Styela clava: one gene and its partners. The protein of the gene in region 2 interacts with the protein of the main gene of each other region in a biochemical or structural test. Links are inferred from orthologs where the notes say so. Each region holds a gene or a part of one and is shown on either strand. Other genes may lie near its edges.

Region 1 (7,748 bases), on a different chromosome or scaffold from region 2:
TGTTTCCACAAATAAATCAAGACAGGAGCAGCTCAAATGGCTCAATACAAAAGCATTCATCGTGATTAGATAGCATAATATAGCGTTTCTATCATCTTCTTGTTGCAAAACTCACCCTTTTCTGCTTATCGGTTGAAGAAAACGAGGAATGAGTAAGTAACACGTCAATATCACCACTAGATGATGCCCCACGTCTGTAACTTCCACATACTTGACTTCTGTATTCTTTATCCAATTCTTGTATTCTTTCATTGACTACTTTCTAAAAATAATAATAGAATTATTCAACAGATTATTGACTAGATAGATTACTAGAACTATTTTTCATTTAACCTTCAATATAAAACTATAGCCGAAACAGTGCTAGTAAATGACTACCGTACATACTCGCAGATAAGACGCAATTATTTTCTTATAAGGTGCGACTAATCTGCTTGACACAAGTGCAAATCGCCACCAAGTCGGAACAAAATTGAAAATTTTCGGCTATTGCAATTGCAAGTAAACATATTTTGAATATATTATGCCCTACAAAAAAAACAAAATAGGAAGTTATCTATGCAAAAAAGCTAGGGAAAGGGCTTTTAAATCCCTAGATTTTCAGTGCGACTCATGTGCGAGTCAACTCTAAATTAAACTTTTTTAACACAAAACTAATAGCACGACCTATACGGTGGGGTGACCTTTCGGCATGTATATACAGTATATAGGTATCTCTGCTAAGGCTGTTGGTTCTAAATTGTAGTTTATGTTTAATAATAAATTTCAATAACAAATCAAGCAGGCAGGAATTGTCAATTTACTGTGTCCAATACTCTAACCTAAAAATTGGCTGCAAAACGTGGTTTTTGCTCGGCCAGATTCTGACCGACAACAGCATGTGTGTGAATCACAAGAAAGAAAAATGTTTAATTTAAATGTAGAGATATAATAAAACTGAGAATCTGATACAGAAAGTTTGGAAATATGGAATAGCATACTTCAAGTACTTCCATCTCCGCTCTTGGAATTCTTTTTTCGAAATCTTCAAAGTACCTTGAACGAAGAGTTCATGTACATTTAATGAGGAACAATGATATCATAGACATGTTTAAATAAAACAACAATTTTGGCAGTCAGTTCAATCGACCTCCTTAATATTACAAAAAGCCAATATAGCCTGGTTCAAAACAATGTTAACCTCGTAAAACAAAAACTCTGATATCGGTTCACACATGTCCTAGTAAAAAAAGTTGCTTCTAAACTTATTTCCAAAATAGGTCATCAAATAAACACCAACAAAAAATATCACCGTGTGTGTGTGTGTGTGTGAGAAACAATGGATCAAGAAATTCAATTAATTACATTTCCTTGTTCGATTACAATTATTACTTACATATTACAATCTCTTACATTCAGTTACTTTTTAAACCTAAATTGAAGCTAAGTAACAAACTCTGTACTGGATTTAAACAATAATCAAAAGAACTAGGGTAACTGAACAATTTCTAAGCAGACTTACTTGAGTCCAATTTGTTGATGATGTGTTAGTTTACTTATATTTTCTCGTAAAAGTTCAAGCGTTGTCAGACCTTCATCAACCAATTTCCTCGCAGCGGCAGGACTATAGTTTTGTTAGAAAATAAAGGTTATCGATAAGTTGTTCAGTTAAAGTAAATGGAGAATAATAAAAAAACACTCAAAATTAGAAAGATATAAAGTAATGGGCAAAAGGCAGAGTACAATTAAAGATGCAAGCTATGTTTAAATAGATTCTTACAGGCTTTAATAAAAAACACGGGTTGTTTCGACTTGAAACCGATTGAAATGTTAGGGAAACTTTTCTAAATAGCAATTAAAATAATACTACCCTGAACTTATACGATTACATTTCCCAACAAAAGTTTATTTTTTCTTAAAAAATTGAAATAGGTCTACTAACCCAATTCCTGATACTCTTGTGAGAAGGGATATTGCTTGAGATGTTTCATCTGATCTAATTTTCTCAATCTTGCGAAGTTTTCCAGTGGTAAGGAATTCATCAATTTTTTCAGCGATTTTTGCACCCACGCCTTCCTGCAAATAATACATATTATAAATAAACACCTCGAACCTTTTATATATTAAAAAAAATTTATTTCAGAATTGTCATATGAAATTTATAAAACGACGAAATGGTTTGATTCATGCAAAAAATAAACTTTGGGTAATTTTCGTACCAACGTTAATAACGTTTTATTAGCCTATAGGCCTAGTCGTCTATTTTCTTAGATTGTGGTACAAAATTTTTCTGACCAGTTTCCGAGCATCTGATCCCTTTTTTATTGGTTCGTTACATTTTGATATGGCACTTGCTGCTTTCCGATATGCATTTGATTTATGAAATGATCTGTTGACATTTTTCTCATAATCAGCAAGTTCTGAAATCAAAAAAGAAGGTGAAGGTATTATAATAGTTCATAATTAATTCACAATTTGAATGACTGACAAAAAATCCAGCACTGAATTACCAATAGCAAAAAGTGACAACAAAAAACTTTAAACGTCAACAAAGTGTTGGTTGAAGGTTCAGACTGAACAGAAAAAATTATAGTCTAGGTCTGATTTCTTTGTAATTAAGCGGAGTAACCCAACAATCAATTTTTAATGATTATCCAATTGTTAATTATTCATTATTCGAGGCTAGCTTATCTCAGAATCTGATGGATTAAAAAATGTGCACTGAGGAAAACCCCAAGACGCTATTTAGCCTCGAATGTCATCGCAGAATGGGGTTTTTGAAATACCTGGTTCAGTTATTCATTTATCTGGCTTATTTCATCGTTCTTACACTCTTATCAAAAACAAAACCATCGCAGAATTATGCTCGTTATAGCCTATGCTAGGTAACTCGCATTTCAGCATTTGCGATTTCATCTAATTTCTCCATTCGACTAGCAACTCAATTCACCAAAAGCTTACCGTATGACAACGTTACCTGTCAAAAAATCTGTAATTCCAGAATTAGGATTATCTGTTGGCGCTTTTCGTTTGATCATATTGAATGTGCAAATTTGCAAACGCTAAAACTGCGGTGCACGCCTGGAGCAATACGTGATGTGATGCGGGTTCAGAAACCTAATAGCCGGCTTGCGTTCACTCGAGCGCTACGCCGTCATGCGAAGAAATGTGTTCCCAATGTAAATTCTCAGATCAAATTTCCAACTCCTTTTCGACCTAGTTTTCTATGAGAAGTTTATCACTTGTGGACCACATGTTTTAAATATATACATTAACTTAAACAATCATTTTCCTACATATTTTATACAGATATATTTAACATGACTTTACAGAGGAACAGCGCCTAGTAATCAATGGAAGATTCGATCAGCAAACTATGTTTTGACCAAAGTGACTATATTTTGACCAGCGATTCGTATGCCCGTATCCGTATTCAAGCGTTGTTTCATAATATATACCGTTTGTTACAAACAGCAGGAATGGCAGAATCGGAAGATCACAAGTTGTTAACCATAGATCAGTGGAATGAATGGTGGAAAAAGGATTACGAACGTTCTAAAAGTAAAGGTAGCAAAGGCGGTGATATTTGCGAACATGGCGACGAAGACAATCCATTTGATCAGGCCAGCCCAATGCTTAGAAAGCACATCAAATCTCTTTTACCAAACGCCATTCGAAAGAGAATATTTCTTCCATTGTGCGGAAAGTCACCAGATATAAAGTGGTTGATTGACGAAGGGTACGAAGTGGTTGGATTAGAATGTTCTGAACACGCCATTTTGGAATTTTTTGAGGAAAATTCAGTGGAATTCGAAAAATCGGTTTCAACAAAAGATCACAGTTTTCGAGTGTATACCGGAAAAACTGCGAATGTAGTTATATATGAAGGAGATTATTTTAAATTCAATTCGGATATCGCTGGTGGACTGTTCGACGCGGTGTGGGATTCGGCAAGCTTGAATACAATTGAGCTTGCCTCAAGAAAACCATACGTCGAAATTATGCGGTCAGTCTTAGACAAACAAGCAAAATACATGCTGAGTGCAATGTATTTTGGCGAAAAGAGAACTTGGATCAATAACCCATTCGATATTACGGATGCGGACATGACCGAACTTTTCGGCGAATATTTTACTTGGGATAAAGTGGACGAAGAGGATTCCGAGTGGGGACTTGAAAGAGTTTTCCTAATAACATGCAAATAAAGTGAAATTATTTGAATACGTGCCAGGCTTATTGTTCCCGGTAATTCCTGCATTATGTAAATCATTTTCATCGACTAATCTCAACGACATTGAGAACGCCTGTCACCTCACTTACATTACAATGTTTGTTATGAATTTTAGTAGAAATACAACTAAATTTAAAAATCCTATGGATGTTTTCCACTGAGACACTTTTGCCAGTTATCACTCAGAAAAATTTTCAGGCATGGTTTATATTACCAATTTTTCGTGGTTTTGCATGCTACTTGTCAGTTTTTAGTTGTGTTTCCAGAATTTAAGTATAAATCAAATAACTCGATGGTCATTTCGTCGTCCCAAGACTGTTATCGAGACTAGACCAGTGCTTCGCAAACTTTTTCAGTTCGCGACCCACCTTTATTGGCGTTTTTGTGCGACCCGCAATGAGATGTTAATGAATGAGAAAAGAAACAATGTATCCACAATCATGAAATCTACTATTTATGCGAAACTTGAGCTTGCATATTGGATATTATTAGATCGAGTCGAGGCTTGATAGGAGACAAGTTCACACGCAAAGTAACAATAACACTCAACACATTATGCTTTTGGCTCAAAATCATTTCCTGCCTCAATGAAACCATATTTGATGTAATCAGATTCATATTTTCTCATTACAACTTTTCGAGCCTTCCCTTTTTTCATTTATTTCGTTACCTTTTCTTTTTCCAAAGTTATCCATTTTCATTTTGTGACTTACAAAAATCGAAACCTGGTTTATTTATTGTTTCAAATGTAACTTATTGGACATAAAAATGAGAACCACAGAAACCGGCGTCTTTGTTAATGTCAACCGAATTCAACAAAATATTTATCTGCCCAGTAGCATACTTACACTTTCCAACATGTGGGGGCGTACCTAAATTATGAATTGTTTACATTGTTTCATAATTGTTGATACGTCATGATAATGCCACGATTTCCCGATCTAATCGAAAATGTATGGTACATTTGTAAATGTTTCGCGGCCCAAGCCCCAAACTGTTCGGGTTACTTACTACTTTAAGGTGAATGCGAAAACAACAACATATCTGATAAAATGTAACTTGTTCAATATAGGCTATTGTACAATCAAGCTTTTAATATTCAAACATCAAGGTAAACTTAATTTCATTCGATAAATCTCGATTCATTTTCAAATTAGAATGCTCTTAATATATATACGAGTCAAGATATTATTTTTGGACACGTAGTGGACATAGCGATCGTTTCAATATTATGTTCTTGTTCTTTGACAAGTTTTTAAAAAGTCGCTTTTCTCTTTGGTTACTGGACCAATTGCTTTGAAACTTTCAGTGGTTAAAGTTAAAAATTTTCTTCAGAAGGCTATTACTTTTTTTGTTGTTGCTATGACGTCATCAAAATTATTGCCATTAGGTGGCGCTACGTGTCCATATATTTGAGCATAGCTCTCTTGTTACTGATCTGATAATATACTTTCTAATGATTGAATGATGTTATCCACAAATTAAACATAATCTTATATGATGAATCGCGTTGTATGATCGAATTCAAAAGGGTATGATATGAATTCATGCCAATATCACTTAGTCTTCAGTAATTAGAGGTTATATATATGAATAGTATGCGGTGATGGATTCTGTTATTAGATCATATTTTTCCACTTCATAGAGAAATTATAAAAATTGTTTGTTGTGTTTTCCAATCTCAAAGTATCAATCATAGTTGAGGGGGTCGAAGCATTTTAAAAATTTCATGTAGGTTTCCAATGCTCCGCTCGCCACTGTAACGTTTCCAGCCTTGACTTCTTCCTCCCAATTTTTGTTTTCATTCATTATTGATTTGTACACATCAGACCTCATTGTCAGCCGGACTTGTGGATTTTCATCTTCCGTACCTGCTTCAATGACGTCACATACACTATTCCGTAGGGTCAATATGAAATCTTTATCCAGATCTAAAAATGTGAGACCAATCGTATATTTTTGATGCTGACATTCCAAACCTTTTACTTTGAGACTTAACATTTCAAGGACTTTCTCAATGGGGGTCCTTTTTATTGTTATGGAGATGGCCTTTTTCGTTTGATCCAGCGAAATGTTCGATTCTAATTCCAATGCACAGGTCAAGTAATAATTTCTGCCATTTGCGCTTATTTCTTCAACGCCTAGTGCTCTAAGTGCACTTATTTTCACTTGTCGAGCTGTGTTGCTGAGAGCTTCTTCTAAGCTACCGAGCTGAAGTACGGTATCAACTAGTTCCAAAGCCCATTTGTCTTCAGTCACAAGATACTTCCCCTTTGACAAATAATGCTCATACGATTTTTTGTGAGATATTTCAGCTTCACGTAGCATTACTTCCGCCGCGCAGATTTGTTGACTTTGAGCATACGTTATTAACCTAGCCATCCGTGTAGCACGCTCATTTTCAGTCATCGGGTGCAAATCTTGCGGATTTCCACTGAACCACCCAAGGTAATCATTGAAAACGCTTTTCACGGACCATGCGACAGTGCCGTAGTGTTCTTGCAAGAACGGATGTTGAGCGACTAAGTCGGGTAGTTTGACATTAGCAACAATTTGCCCAGGATAATAGCCTTTGTTGATGAGCCGTAATGTTTGGTCATGAATGTATTTTATTGCATCTCTGTACACCGTCAAGGTTTCATAAACTTCATCTTTTCCGATAACTGGTCTGGTATGGGATCCCACAAGATATTTCGCCTTCAGAACTCTGGTTTTGTCTAGACTTTGATACCACATTCTCACATTTCGCGGAGGCGAGCCTCTGATTGCATATAGATTAGGAAAGGTTTTATAAATGTTGTCACCCGGCATTGCAACTTCTTCCTTTGGCAGCCATACTGTGATTTGATCAGGGGTTTCTCCAGGTGTGTGTATGAGTTCAAATTCGATGCCTGACACGTAAAAAAAATTTAGCTTAATCAATTTTCGTGAGCTACATTCATAAATTATGTACGCTGTTAGCTTAAACACCAACGGGTTTCGACATGAATATTGGGATGAGTGAATTGGCATCGTTGACATAATGGAAGTAGAAATATTTTACATTTCGTAGATTATAGAGTGTCCCCTTTGCGAAATAGTCACACGCAAACAATTCTTTATAGTCGCACTTTTACGACTATCATCGTTGACCACCCTACGGCCTACCTAATCAATGTATTGTAATCAGTGGTGGAAATCAAATTTTTTGTCAGCCGGTTCGATCACAAAAGTCATATTTTTCAGCCGGTTCTGTTACGAAAAGTCATTGGCAGTAACCAGTAATGCCAACCGGTTCGCTGATCTTATAAAATTCCGTGAGACAGTTCTATAGAACCGGTGCGAACCGGCTAAATCCCACCACTGGTTGTAATCGAAATTAGATTTTGATTTATAATACTTATATATTGATACATCATTACTCTTGTCAGATAGAAAAAAAAGGAATTACAGAAATGATCAATATCATAATTCATATTAGTTCGTAGAAAAAGTTGACCAAACTGGCTTAGAGCCTTGTCTGGAGCAGATATGTGGAGCATCTCATGAAATATGGTTA
Region 2 (7,496 bases):
CATTGACCTGATGAATCGTGTGTTGTTTGTAAAGATATTCGAAACATCGAGGCAAAATATTGTATCGTTTTCATCAAAGAGGGTGAGTATATTGATCACCATGGATACCAACTTGTATTTAAATTTTCTTTCTTTGCCATTTGGTACATCTTCATTGACATTCCAGGTGGAATAGATTGGGAATCATCAGTTTCTTCTTTAATTTTAAAACTGCCGAATGTTTTTCGACCATCATTAGTTTTTTGCTGAAAATAAATATTCTATAAACTTACAGAAAACGCCAACAAAAATCACAACACTAGTCATTATATTATGAAACAATTCTGACTAGTACTGGGTGACCCAATATACAAGTTATTTGAATTGGAAAATATTCTAGAGAGAACATAAGTTTTGTGCAAAACGTCCTAGATTACTGAAACTTTTCGGTACAACCATACACAAACAGAAGTTCAAGGGTAAAATAATTTTTTTCTTCTTCATAGAATTGATCACGAAATTTATCGGTTTCCTTTTTTGTGTCTCCCTGTATATCACAGGCTTACTAATTTCATACAAGGAAAAATAATTTGCCCATGTCCAAACGTCAATACAGCAAAACCACAAATAAATTCTTCAATCGCACCGACTTAAATTAAAACCATGTTGAAATACCTTGACAGGAACCTCTGGTTCCTTTTGTTCAATATCATCATCTGTGGTATGAAATTTAATGAAAGATAAACCATATGTTGATCTCTGTAAAAATAATGTAAAACAAAGAATATAAAATAGGGAAACATTATATAGAACGCTTAGGCTCCATCAGGAACTTCTGCAAAAAGCATTCATGATTGCTGCTTAACAATGGGAATTGAAAAATCAAAGCTAGACCCAAGTAATTTGAGAGTCGCACTGTTATATAAAACAAAATATTTTTGTTCAAGTTAACGCTTAGGCTCCATCAGGAACTTCTGCAAAAAGCATTCATGATTGCTGCTTAACAATGGGAATTGAAAAATCAAAGCTAGACCCAGGTAATTTGAGAGTCGCACTGTTATATAAAACAAAATATTTTTGTGCAAGGATGCAGCAGCCAGAAACATTCATAAACTACATAGAATAATTATCTTTATTCTTGCTACAGTATCCTTGCATTATACCGTATAAGGATCCACAAGCACAAAGTCATTGAGCCAAGAAAGATAGTCTTGCATAACCCCAGCAAATAGATATGAAAAAATTAGTTTCTTATTGAGAATTACTGATTTTATTTATTAATGTATTATATTATAAGGTTTTTAAATACACCAATGTTTTATAAATGAAGAACAGATGCAAAAAGGATGATCCCTTGACATTTTATATTCAACAAGAACTTGGTGAGCAGGCCAATATGATTGCACCAAAGTATCAAATATGTCTGATTAATTCATGAATTACAGAAATCGAGTTTTCATTCCAAGTCCAATACACCAAATGTTTTTTATGCATTGTTAATTCTAAAATGATTTACAGAATAATAAAACCCTGAATGATGAACCTTATTAAATGGCTGGGTACAAACAACTTTAACCAGGTCCCATTTTTGTGATGCAATGTCTGATGTAAGTTTGTCTTTGTTAAAGATTCTGACTCTATTGGGTGGTGAACCTTGTCTGCTTTCTTGGGGACTCATGAATGAGGATGCGACAAGAATAACCTGAAATTAAGTAAATAGTTATTGAGAGGAAACTTAAGAACTTATCAAGAGGGAACCGAAGCCACCAGAAATTTCAATGGATTTAGCTTCGAACCATTCAATTATTTTTTCACATTCATAATTTCTTAATACTTTATAAGAAAATCTTTTGCAGCTTAAAATTTTTCATAAATTTAATTTCTAAAAATAAATCTAAAGTTTCAAGTTAAAAGGCATATTTAAAATTTGAATTTGAAAATTTGTCTGCATTTATTAAGCTGGTATTTTATGATAGTGATTCATCATACCAAAAAACCCTCAATGGCTTAGGAGCCGGAACCCAGCTAGAGTTGGAAAATTTAAGTTCTGGATCTGGGTCCTATGCCATTTCAAACCAAAACACTGATATTTAATGCACATATTAAACCTACTACTTGGCACAATTCCACTTGCCTGATATTGCACATTGTCATTGCTCGATCTTCCAACCAAAACTTCAATAAAAGCCGATCCTTCGTTTGCTATATCAATGCTTGATAACTGAGTTGATTTTTCAAGTTGGAAAACAATGCACGCCTGTTTCTCACCTGCAGCACATTTCCATTTCCGTGATGAGTCTTCATTGAGAAGGTTGTCAGCTTTATGTGGCTGTTGTATAATAAATTTAATAATGAAATGTTGGAAAATAAACACACTGATATCAGGCTATAACCCAGGGTCAAGAAAAATGTCTTATTTATAAAATCAATTGTGTAAGACACGGAGTAGTAATGCATTTTTCCCACGCAGTAAGGCATAATTTTGTATTCCATATCTGAAGTTTACAAATGATTCAAAAGTCATGGTGCACAATCAGACAAATATGTTTCTATAGTTTCGTTTGATGAAATCTTCACTCTTGCTGGAGCATCTTTGCATTATATGCATGAGGAGCTACTGCCACATTGCAGGTTAATGACAAGTGAATAATTTCATAGAAACTCAATCGAAAACTGAAGTTCTAAAAACTTTATATTATACCTTTGTTATATTGAAACGGCATAAACATGATTTCAATAAAAAAATGTTATTTTCCCAGTGATAATTTAATCAAAAAAAAAGTTTTTCATAGCACTAATTTCAAATTTTATTTTACGTAAATCTATGGTCACCACTAATTGACAAATAAAACGAGAAAGAAATCTTTCACTTTAACCCCAAAAAGCAAAAATTTTGAATTTAAGTACTTACAGTTTCTTCGCTACTGAACGAGACAATATGCTTTATTTTTACAACAGGCATTTTATAATCTAGATACCATCACCTATGGAAAGAAACATATTCTATTCTAAAACAAAATTTAAACATAAATAATACTAGAGAAGGCATAACAAAATTCAACAAATAAAAGAATTCATGAGCAAGTGATAACTGATTGTTACACAAATGACCACAGAGTATTTCTAACTTAAATAAAAGTTCAATCCAAATTTTAACCGATTTTCAAAATTTTAATGAATAATTTGTTAACAACGTATTTGAAATTTTCTAGTATGATTGAGATCAGAATTTATTTAACAAATATAACATCCTTTTTAAAGCATGGAGGTGCCAGTCCTAATTAACACAAAGCAATCAAAGCAGGGGAGAGACTATAAAAATAAGAAAGCCAACGATGGAGGAAAATAGGTATATATAAGTGCAGAAGATTACCAAGCAGTTGGTTGAATCGAAAACATATTTGGTATGTGTCACTTGGTGGAAACTTCAAAACTCTAAATTTGATACAATTGTCATGTTTTTAAATTTCAATTCAAATAAATACTGATTAATCATACAGAAACAATTTGAAAGTATAGTTGAAATATGGTAACATAGTCATGTATTCAACGGAACGAATAAAATTTCAAATTGTGAAATATGTACTGCTATGTTGTAGTATCATCATCAATAACATTGTCAGTTTCTTCGTGTTTTTGTTTTATCTCTTTCATTTCAAAACTATTAGCATCTTGCCTCTTTTTGAGAGCTTTACCCCCTTGGTAACCAATTATAGTTCCAGTGACACCAGCTGCTGCTAGGCCTGTCGTGACACTCCCAAGCTTAAATCCTGCGACCATCCCAATTGGACCTCCTACAGCACCACCAACGACAGCACCTAAAATTGGAAACATGGCAGCTTTTAGTATTGTTGCTTTTCTTAATTGTGATTTCCCTTCGTTTATATTAGTTTCAGCGTCTTCAATATTACTTGATATGTCATCCACCATCTTACCCTGATCATGAACAAGGGAAGAAAAATCGTTCATTACTGTGTTTAAATCCACAATGTCTTTTCGTAATTTATCCCACCATTCCTCAACATTTGCTTCCTCCTGCCGACTATCCAATTCTAAGATTTGGAAATTTGATTCATCTGCTTCTTCTGCAGAAGATGTGTCATCATCTTGTTTTTCGTACGCCCCATATTCATTTAAGTCCCCTCTGCTAGAACAACTTGACTCTATGACAAGTCTATTACCACGCAACTGCACAAATGCATCCTCATGTATGTTTTTTTCTTCAGGCATATTGGATATATTTTCACTAGAGCCGTGGTAATTTGATACAAAATGATCTCCAACTGTATGACTTGAAATAGATGTACCTGAAACAGAAGACTGTAATAGTCTGTTACCAACAGTTTCTGGATTATCTTTATTGCTTCGTTGATCCAAGGAACCTACAATTGATCCGTCACTTTTTAATCCTTCATCATGTATTTCTAAAAATTCATTTATAGATGCTTTCGCTTTTTCTTTTGCCAAATCCAGATGTTGGTCAAAAATAGGTAAATCTTCTTCAATAACTCTAGCCCTAAGTAATTCCATTTCATTAATATTTCTAGTCAGTTGTTGTACCGTTCTGCCAGAATTTATATATTCTTCTTGTAATTTCCAAAATTCTTTTGACTTTCTCCATTTTCTAATATTGCATTGATGTCTGTGAAGCCTGTCCAAATCGGCTGGTAATGCTACATTAACAAATGTGTGTACAGAGCTTTCAACTCTTCGAAATGGTACAGTTCCTTTGTGTTGTACGAGTTTTATTCCTAAATCATCCTCTTCGTCATCTAAAAGTTCACCATTGACCTGTTCTGGTGGTTTTTTGTTTGTGTTTATAAAATCCAACGGATTCCTGAATAAATACGGGAGTTTCCAATTCATAGTGCCAAAGTTGAATCTTTTAAAACAAATTTCACAGTACAATCACCAGCTGGATTTATTCGAAACACCATCGATTGAATAAAATATAAAGTAACACCTGAAAAAAAAATCACACAATTTTACAGGCTGTAATTTCTTGGCAAAAACTGAAAATGTGAAATGAAATCAAGCAATATATGTAATGAATATTCACACATTGACAGAAATGTGAAATAACTTTATTGATATGAAATTGCAAAACTTTACGTAAATATTTATTACATTTTGTGGTCTAATACTTGGTTTTCATATATACTACTATGCGCCGTAGGCGGTCATGGGTTTTTTGATCGACTCCAAAAATAAGTATACACATAGATTCCCTTTTTAAACAATATTTATCTCCCTCAAGTGGTGAGCGACACTTGACATCAATTTTTACAGCACCAGTGATAAAAAGGCAATAATCAAACAATGCATATAAAGATATAAGAGGAACATATCAGCAAAAGACAAAAAAACTTCATTTATAATGATATAATGCAGTAGGTACAAAGCTATAGGGTCGATAGACAATACATAACTACAAAATATACCTCTGAAATGCATATTACACAAATAAAACTAACAATTTCGTCATATCGCCACAGTAAAACCAAAGTACTGCAGTTTATGTGACAGGGACTTCTCTCCTTATTGAAGAAGGACATCTTTTTTCAAAGCTATCTGTATCAACTTTATTTTAGGTAGTAATGTCCTGGCTGTTAGAAGCAAACTATTACAAAATGGTGTTTTTCTCAAAAACCTCAAAATGTGACAATAGCTACGGTAACTTGATTTTACTGCGGCGATATTGTTTTCAGTTTTTGTAACACTTGATCTGTATATGATAAGGTTGACATGACCACCACTCCATGAAAGTAAATGAGTTTATGGCAACAAATAAGCAGAACCTACATCCACATTAATAAGCACTCTGAGTAACATATTCAAGGATCAGGAATAGTTTCAGCTTGTTTTTTTCTTGATAAGCAGAAGCAAAAAAAACATATTTTTTATCATAGTAACATACATGCCCAATGGCAGCAGTTGGCATGATCTATTCTATAACATGAAGATTCAAACAATTTATAACTGGTAGACTATGCTCTAGTCTGGCCACTATTCGTTATTGCACAGTTGATAGCAAGAATAAAATAAATGGACATTTTAGATAGGAAAATCGATCGGTTCATTATCATCAACTTCAATTGTCGGAGGTTCATTCATGGACATTTCATCATCTGAATCTTTATTTAACTTTGACAAATCTAATAACGTCTTTGGCTTCGTATCATCATTTTCGCTATTTTCCTCCTGAAAAATTTCATCTGATGGAACAGCTTGCATAGAAGGTGATAAATTGGTCGCATCATGGGGGCTTGGTGCTTCTCGAGCTGAAGCTTTAGTTCCTTCGAAAGACTTTAGGTGAATTCTTAGATGCAAATTAACTTCAGAAGATCTGCTTAAATATGGAAAATTACCACCTGTCTTTAAGTGAGCCCGCTTTGCATTTGGAAAGCATTTGTACATGTCATCCTTAACACTTTGTGACAAGGCACTTTCATCAAAAACATCCATTAACGTAACAGCAATGTGTTGTAAGGAATGTGGCTTTCTAACATAATCCCCGTTACAATGAAGTACGAGACGTGATGCAATTTCTTGTTGAGTGAGATTTTCAAGACACTCAACAACGAAATCTGTTGCATCCGCTTGAGGGGCATCCGTAACATCTCGAGTGAAACTGCCCATTACCAGTCGTTTCAAAAGAAAACCAGGTATGAGCCAAAAAGCTGATGATGCTCTCGTGTATTTGAACACAGAAGTATCTGTAAAGCCATTGCATAAAACTATTGAAGCAATATATGGCGTATTACGCATTCTTTCAGCAAACTTAAGACCAAGATAAGCACCCAGCGAGCAACCAAATATATGTATCTGATCCAAGTGAAGATGATCAATAATTTTTCGTAGGCCAACGCAAAATTCTTCAACGGTCCAGTAAACTGGATAATCCAATGCTATTGTTCTATACCCCATGCCGGAAAGACCCAACACTTGCCGGTAAAAAACATCAGCTTTTCCAGCCGCTGGTGGGAGACAAATAATTGGGCATTTTACAGTCTTTGGTCCAGCATCATATAAGCTCCAAACTTTTGAATCCCCTTCATCTACAATCACTCTTTTCAATGGAACTGCATTACGGAAACTAAGGTATTCATTGGTTGCGACCAATTTATTCATACCTCAATTCTTTGTGTTCAAAAATTAAAATTATCTCGTGGAAAAACCAATATTGGCATGACAGGCAAGAAAATGACCGTCTTAGCCTTCGATATCATAGATAACCTCACGAACAAACTGAAATAAAATGTTGAGATTATAAGAAATAGATGAATGAGATAATGAAAGGCTTTTAGCTCACATGTTTTACCATTATCATGAAGTAAATGGCTCTGCGGTTTAGCTAGAGATGGGCAATATAGAATACTGAATCCGGAAGATTCGAATCCAAAAGGAATCGATACCAGATTCGGCTTCCCCCTCTTCGACGCCGTGCGTCAATTTTTGCATTTCGGATTTCTAAATATTAATCAGTGACGAGCGTTTTCTCTCGCAATGAAATCTCT
Region 3 (7,614 bases), on a different chromosome or scaffold from region 2:
CATGTTTTTTATTAAAACTTTGTTGTCGATGACACTTTTTGGATCAAATTCAGGCATGTTGAATTTAACAGGCTTTTGTGAAAGAAAATATTCCTCGGGAGTTTTGAAATCAATTTCCAAATTCATAGCAAATAATCTATCAGTACACGAAAAATCTTTTTTCTTTTTTGGAGCCCAATCTTTTGGGCGGCCAGCTGCATCTCCGACATAATAACTATGAGACATATCAATCGGTATTCCCCCATTACCTTGTTTTGCCAGCCAAGTCCATGTTCCAATGTTAGGTTTTCGAGACGGACCCTTTTTCGTAATTGCTATCACCTGAGCTTTAATACCAAGCTTTCCCAAAATGTTTTCGACTTTGGTTTTGAAATCCTTTGGTTGAAGTTTACCTTTCCCAATCCCCAGTTGGTTGGTTATTATCACTATTTTATATTGGTCATTTTGAAGCTTTTTCAATTTTCCTGGTACTTCGGCGTAAAGTATCTTCCAATCATTATGATCTTTTGCAAATGTCCTACCCGATGCTGTTGTTATTATTGTACCATCCATATCAAATGCTGCTATTTTTGATGAATTATACAACTGCGGAGAATGATAAATTAATAAGCCTTCTTTTTCTTCCCAACCAACTGGATAGTCAGATTTTATCCATCCTCTAAATACATTTTTCTCTCTACCACCATCTTTTGATTTTTCTGTTTTCACAATGGATAGACTTTTGCTTTGTAAAAATTTGAGCTTTTCCGCAACTTTATTTTCATCATCACTCTGATCATCCGATACCTCATCTTCATTTACCATTTTGGCTTTTTTTGGTATTGGTGTTTCCGTTTTGGATTCTGAAGAACTAGGCCCAAAATATGAGTCGATTGTTCGTTTTTCAGCTGTTGTTTTTTGCGTTTTAATAATTTCATGTGGATATTGTTGAACAACAAAATAGAAAATATCACCAACTTTTAACTTCTTCTCGTGTCCTTTTGCAATCTCTTGTTGACCAATCATAGACGGGTTAGTTCCAAGATGTTTCAAAGTGACGCTTTCTTTTTCATAGTTTGCTGTTAATTCAACTTGCTTTCTTGAACAAATTTTCTCAATGATTTTAGTTTGTGGACTTCTTCCTAGTATGACAGGAACACCATTTGGTAATGGAATAGGTTCGTGTCTATCATTACAGCACCTCAATTGAAGCATTATACAGAATTATCTATGACCCTATAATGAGAGAGTGATAATAATTTATTTCCGAATTTATCATCAATGTACACATTGCAGTAAAAAGAATAAACAGTAATCATGAAATATAATCGCAAAGGGGCGGGTAAGACTGCAAGGTTAACAAGATCGACCGACCCCTAAAGAAAATTCTTATTAGGATGAGGCACGCAATCAATTACAATTATTTGTTCATAGCCTATAAGGTCAACAAAAGTTATGTTTTTTTTATGTTTAACTCGTATTATTGCATTCCATCAAGAGCTCAATTGAAACATATTATGTCATTATTATTGTAGTGAAAAAATATTTTTTAAATTTAAGCCTGTTAACCCTTTCCAGGCGGTGGGCACGTATACGTACCAACGACAAAACTCGCTAGATCACGGCGGGTACTTCAAGTTACCCATAGTTTTATTTAGCAATCGGTCGCAAATTGTTGGTCTAGTTTATCCGGGTTTTAGTTTATTGATAAGAAGTCTTCTTCGAGATTAACATAAGCGACGATAAATCTCGCTTTTGTTTACAACGGGAATTTTATTTGCGGCGGAACGAGGGAGTGATTTTGAAATTTATGCAAATTTCTGTGTTTTTTGGGTGGTAATAGAAGACATATTATCCCTTCCATCTACCAAAGGATTTTGAGTTAGATCACGAAATTGCTACAGCAATATTATGCTATTGTTTGCCAACCACGAAGCGGTAACAGTAAAGGGTTTAGCTAATATTTCTATTTTTTTATCACGGTTTGAAGTTTCAACTCCCAAGAAAAAAAAATGCCCTTTTTCTATCCGGTTTGTGACTCAGACCACCACATTTTAAAAAACTTTTTTTTTTAATCGCCAACTGCAAGCTCTTTAAATAAGCTTTCTAACGAGTCGTCAGTGGGCAGCAGAGGATCATTAGTTTTTCATTAGTCGATCGATTAGTTGTGGGGGTACAAATGCATAAAATCAGCGTAGCAAATACGATTATTTAATAAAAAATAAAAATCGCATTGAAAGGGTTAACGAGCCCTCAAAAAATTCAATTCCTTTTTATAAACATAAGAGTTCAGGCACTTTTTCAGGCACATTAATTTTTTTTTTCTTTTTTTTTTCGTAGTTCATTGGGGTTAAGTTTTATTAGACCTTGAATGAAATTGTACATTAAAAAAATGCAATTTTTCAATTTAATAAGGTATAATTAATTTTTCAATAGTAAAATATGGCAACACTCAATACAAAAAGAGGCACTCGTGAAACTTCAGGCACTTTGTAAATACCTAGATATGTCCTAATGTTAATGATTACTTTAAAGCAGAAAAATCAAAAATAAAGAAAGCAGAAATGATGGAAATTATGTTTTTTCAAAGTGCCTGAAATTTCAAGAGTGCTTGATTTTCTGCTCAGGGTTGCCATATTTTACCATTGGCAAATTGATTATAGTCTGCCTCATAAAGTTGGGAAGTTTGATCCTACTTATACAACCATATATTATTGTTCCATGCGATATAGAAATGCACATGTTTATTCAAGAGACCGAAATCTTAATAAACTACTGAAAAAAAAATCATAGTGCCCACAATGGTGTCTAAAAAAATATTACTGTTTTAGGGAGCCCCGAGGAAAGGCGATGACACGTTTAACAACCCTATTGAGTGCGAATTATTTATAGAAAAAATAAAACAGTTATACAAACCATTAAATATACATATGAAATCCAATGTTGACAATCCAGTATGAAATTTTCTCTAACCGGCCAGCACCTGAATCAGCAAATGCTGAAATGTCAACGTCCGGACATCACAATGATCATTGCGCCATCTTTCGTAAGGTGTTCGAGTAACAATGTAAAAAAAAAAATATTACAAATCTCATTCTGTCGTGCTGATTTTGGAGTCGAAATAAACTTATACTGTACTAGTAATAAATGCGAATCTTTTCCCGGTAAATCATAACGACATAGGTCAATTCCGTTGACAACGGGAATTCCCCTACTGTGTATGATGTGCCGGTACTGCTCTTTAGCGCCTCACAATTTACATATTGTTCGGTTTTGTCCGCCTGTCTTGTGTGTTCATTGTCTGTTCGCTACAAATCATATTTCTGTATTTCTGGAGCATAATTGTGCAGCTCGTCATCAAAATGCAAGAGCACGTTAACCAAAAAGGACCTGGTTTTGTTGGAATCAAATTTTGTCAAGAATGGTGAGTTTACAATGTCTAAATCTTTTCCCAGTTCCTACAGTTTAGTCTGTTAGTTGGGTTGTGTGTAAGCGTTGGCATATTGGGTCTGGAATAGTTTAGTACTACATGCACTTCTAGTTGGCCTGGCTCAACAATTTTTGCATATGTCATTTCTAACCCCCACCTGACTACGTCACCAGAAAATCACGTCCTTGCGAATTCACAGTGGCGTAATAAGGCCCACCAAAGTATGAGGATGGTCGTCCAAAACGTGCAGACAATCACTCGAAATCGAGCAATCCATTTTTCTCGTCGCAATGATCACGATATGAGAGAGTTCGTCGGCGCTAGCAAGTTTGTTATCTGAGGCGCAGATGCCATTTCGGGCGATCGTAGTTATGCTTTGGCAAGCTCTGATGATGACTTCCTAATGACGTAATTTTTGGATGGCATATTCAGGTGGGGATTAGGAATACTATATGCAAAATTCGTTTTGATACGCCACCTGCTTTGAAGTGGATAAAAAATTTTTACATACAGACATATGCAAATACACTCAAATGAACCACATCTGACGGTGGTTGGCTTTGTCATTTGCAATTTCTGAGATCAGGAGATATAATTCTATGCTTTTCAAATGATGAATACAGACATATATTAGTGCGTCTCATTAAATTGTTACTAAATTAATATTACAACTTTTTAGCAACAACATGCTCTATCCAAAAGAAGACAAGCAGAACAGAATTCTACTCTACTCAGTGAGATAAGCTAATGAATAGAATATAGATATAGGATAATTCTTTTCGAACTACCTATGTCCGTGTACTCCTTACTTGAAATGAATATTATTATTTAACCCAGTAGATGAAGTTGCACTTGCACATTCCCAAACTTTTTTGGGCATGAACCATTTTTGAAATGAAATGAATCGCAGCCGACTCAAGACATGAAAATTATACAAACGTTGATTTTACCAAGTTTGTTTATTATTTGAGATTATTACATACGATAAATACCATTTAGAAGTTAATGTTTTTTCAAACCCCTAAGCTTTGTGCTTATTGCTTTTTTTTCCTGATATCTTCGCAACCTCGACAAGGTTCAAGGCTCAACAAGGCTTTTATGTACGAGTCCACGGTCCTGGGGTTGGGAATCACTGAGTAAACATTCTGGTTTTACAATGTGCACCTGAAATTGTTTGTTTAATATCCCACAAAATCAAGAAATCATATCAGTTGTTAATGATTTTTGAAGAAGTTTAGTTCAAGTTTTATATTTAACTGAGCCTTATGTTCTCTTTCAGTGTCGTAACTGTGACTTTCAAATGGAAGCTGACAATGCATGTATTTATGTAAATAAGATTGTCCATGAAGTTGATGAATTAACACAAATCATTGCTGATGTAGCACAAGATCCAACTTTGCCACGAACAAAGGATCATTCATGTCCCAAGTTAGTTTATAGTTACAATGTATATTTCAAATTTTTTTTCTTATAATTACCGTGTTTTTGATTGGATTAGATCCATCGATCATAAGGTAGGCTTTTATACATCTTTATGAATGTCATAGCATATCTTGCAGATCTGCTGTTCATCTAATAATTAGGATTTATTATCAGATATGCAGAAATGGTACGTATCTATACGTAGATGCGATAAGTTGTACAATCTAACAATAATTCTGTATCACAGTTTGTTACTGCCTACCAACCTATTTTCTGCCAGGTGTTTTATGGAAAAGAAATTCAATTGTCTGATTTTCCAATGCTTGTGGTATTAAAATGTGGGAGGGAGCATCTGCTTGTATCAAAACAAGCTCGAAGCTATCATTGCTAAATAAATGAGTCAAGACCAAATTTAATTGCAGAAGATTTGTGGTGTTTTGTAAGCCGTGAAAGATTTTAGTTTCGAACCAGCTCACAAAAAAATATTTATACAAATTTGTTTGTAAGCGGATAATGCTTTATTAGGTTCAAGTTTATGGTCTAAAGTTGTCATCAGAAGAAAAAAACAGTAGAAAGATAATACTCTTGTGATAGTTATGGCTAGGCAACTAAAGTTGATGAGAGACCTGATTATTCTTTCACTTTGCTTCTATCCTTTTCCATTTTATATTTTTCAGATGTCAGCATAAAGAAGCTGTATTCTTCCAATCTCAATCAACAAGAGCAGAGGAAGGCATGAGACTTTATTTTGTTTGCACAAACCCACAATGTGGTCATCGATGGACTCAATTGTAATCTATTCCATCAAATTGTGCAATACTTGAATGCAATCATACATCGATACATGCACAAGGTGAATGAAACATCTTTTGGTCATCAAAACGACCAACATGAATCCATGAGGACCTCTCACTAATAAGAACTGACAAAGCCTATGGAATCGGACAGGGTTGTGTGCTTGTTGCTAAAGATTTTGTGTTACTATTTTTACCAGCTTTTTTCATTAACAAACCAAATCTTTGTTGCAAGCTCTACACCTATAAGCTCTTGTATATTGACATTTATTATGGTATGTTTCACCAAATTTTTAGGAAATATATGCTAGGAATCCCATATCAAATAGGTACGCAATGTTGATGAACGATGATTCAACCATATAACTGCTCCATTGAACGAAATCTATAAGTTATAAAGACTTTCATTATGCATGTTATTGTGAATACTTGTAGTAGAACCCGTTTGCTACAAAGGTAAAATTCGTCTTTAAATTTCAAAAATACAATGAATAAACTTTTTCTATTAAATGATTGGGCGGGCATGTGATGCCAGAACAGATGAGAAAACAAATGCGGTAGAGTTGTGTACATTCTAGCCAAAATAGTTGATTTGAAATATATAGCGGGATGAGCATGGCATTAATTGTTAAAGATTCAAGCCCAAACCTGTTCCTCTGGTGCATGATTCTCTAGAACTGTGACTTGAAACCGACTGTTCACACCGAAAGTGTTGGGACCCCTTATAAAAACCAGTCAATTGTGTACAAATAGTCCCTAACATAAACAATGCTTCACATTCAAAGTGCACTCAAAATTGGAGGATAATGGAGATTCGTGTGAAAGCGCCGAATACCCTTTTCAACTGGCTCAAACGGGCCAAATAAACTATGATAGGTCAAGAGTTGCCCTTAATTTGTTCTGTTATGTTATCCTGGACCACAAGAACATGTTCTCATTTGACTATTTTTTCAATCTTAGCATACAAAGCGCATGGGTCACAATCTTCTTGTGACATCTCCGTGTTCCTGAAGTTGCCATGCACTGCTTTTATCTGTGAGGGTGTATTCTAGAATTTTTGCATTCACTTACACATCCAAGAACTAATAATGTTGCAGAAAGTATAGTCAGGCTATCGCATTGTGCGAAGCTTAGGAATATGCATGTCACCACACACCACACCTCTGACTACCTTGAGTGGGTTCGAATCCCATAGGAATAAATATGTGTGAGCTCACAGCTTCTCCTGCCATCAACTCCATGCATTTGACACAAGAAGCTGGTTAACTATTTACGGACACTGATTGGTTACAGGATCACTGTAATTTGCCATACTACCGAACCTGCACGATCCATACAATTGCACAAACTTATTGCCCTTTTCAGTTTTTATTGAAATATTTTCAGCAATGAAATCTAATGGTAGTTTTAGCGACAGTTAACGCATCAAAATCAAAAAGAATGTAACAGTTGCAAGCAAATAATATTAGCATACATGGTTTCAATTTAACTACAGATAAATCAGATGGAAACCGAAAATATGAACCATCTTTGTATTAAAATTATTTAGTACGAGATGTTAAAATAATCATAGCTTTACCCTGTTGTATTAGTAATTAGATATGGGTTATTAAAGCAACAAAAAAATCAACACAGGATTGAATAAGTGATTATGAGAATCATTGAACATATCGACATCTAGCTAATTCAACACAACTAGACTAAGAACAACCAATTTTTTAAGCAAAACAAGCATAAATTTCAGTTAAGAGGGAATGTTTATTCTTAAAAGCAATGTAAGGTATTGGAATAGGCCATAGAAACTGATATAATAGCAAGAAAAAAAGTCATTCAATTTTTTAATTATAAGTGGAATACTTCACCTCATTTACATGAAAATTTTAATACAATCCAGAAATTCATCATATACTTAATAAAACTTCAAGAATCATCCCATAAAGCACGAAAAATTTGTTAGTAATTTAAATTCAGCCTGAAGGATAATTTTTT

What was found.
Region 1: the proteins of DNA repair protein XRCC1-like (region 2) and DNA polymerase beta-like form a complex in vitro, tested with the Homo sapiens proteins (5 studies listed by BioGRID, with this or other methods). The link is inferred for Styela clava from reciprocal best matches to the Homo sapiens genes XRCC1 and POLB.
Region 3: the proteins of DNA repair protein XRCC1-like (region 2) and bifunctional polynucleotide phosphatase/kinase-like form a complex in vitro, tested with the Homo sapiens proteins (3 studies listed by BioGRID and IntAct, with this or other methods). The link is inferred for Styela clava from reciprocal best matches to the Homo sapiens genes XRCC1 and PNKP.

What each region holds. Positions count from the first base shown.
Region 1 is NC_135251.1:20,816,837-20,824,584, reverse strand, and holds the start of DNA polymerase beta-like, read right to left. Parts: upstream 3,097-7,748; 5' UTR 3,018-3,096; coding exon 2,957-3,017; intron 2,400-2,956; coding exon 2,275-2,399; intron 2,056-2,274; coding exon 1,922-2,055; intron 1,604-1,921; coding exon 1,502-1,603; intron 1,036-1,501; coding exon 981-1,035; intron 263-980; coding exon 116-262; intron 1-115. Other genes in the region: putative thiopurine S-methyltransferase, read left to right, coding at 3,333-4,184; linear primary-alkylsulfatase-like, read right to left, coding at 5,900-7,101.
Region 2 is NC_135250.1:11,227,969-11,235,464, forward strand, and holds the start of DNA repair protein XRCC1-like, read right to left. Parts: upstream 3,012-7,496; 5' UTR 2,942-3,011; coding exon 2,891-2,941; intron 2,309-2,890; coding exon 2,114-2,308; intron 1,682-2,113; coding exon 1,523-1,681; intron 739-1,522; coding exon 655-738; intron 246-654; coding exon 113-245; intron 1-112. Other genes in the region: syntaxin-17-like, read right to left, coding at 3,568-4,845; maspardin-like, read right to left, coding at 6,034-7,110. UniProt on the Homo sapiens protein: Scaffold protein involved in DNA single-strand break repair by mediating the assembly of DNA break repair protein complexes. Negatively regulates ADP-ribosyltransferase activity of PARP1 during base-excision repair in order to prevent excessive PARP1 activity.
Region 3 is NC_135258.1:17,043,107-17,050,720, reverse strand, and holds the start of bifunctional polynucleotide phosphatase/kinase-like, read right to left. Parts: upstream 3,097-7,614; 5' UTR 2,896-3,096; intron 1,216-2,895; 5' UTR 1,195-1,215; coding exon 1-1,194. Other genes in the region: DNA-directed RNA polymerase II subunit RPB9-like, read left to right, coding at 3,342-3,403, 4,089-4,143, 4,689-4,837, 5,509-5,626. UniProt on the Homo sapiens protein: Plays a key role in the repair of DNA damage, functioning as part of both the non-homologous end-joining (NHEJ) and base excision repair (BER) pathways.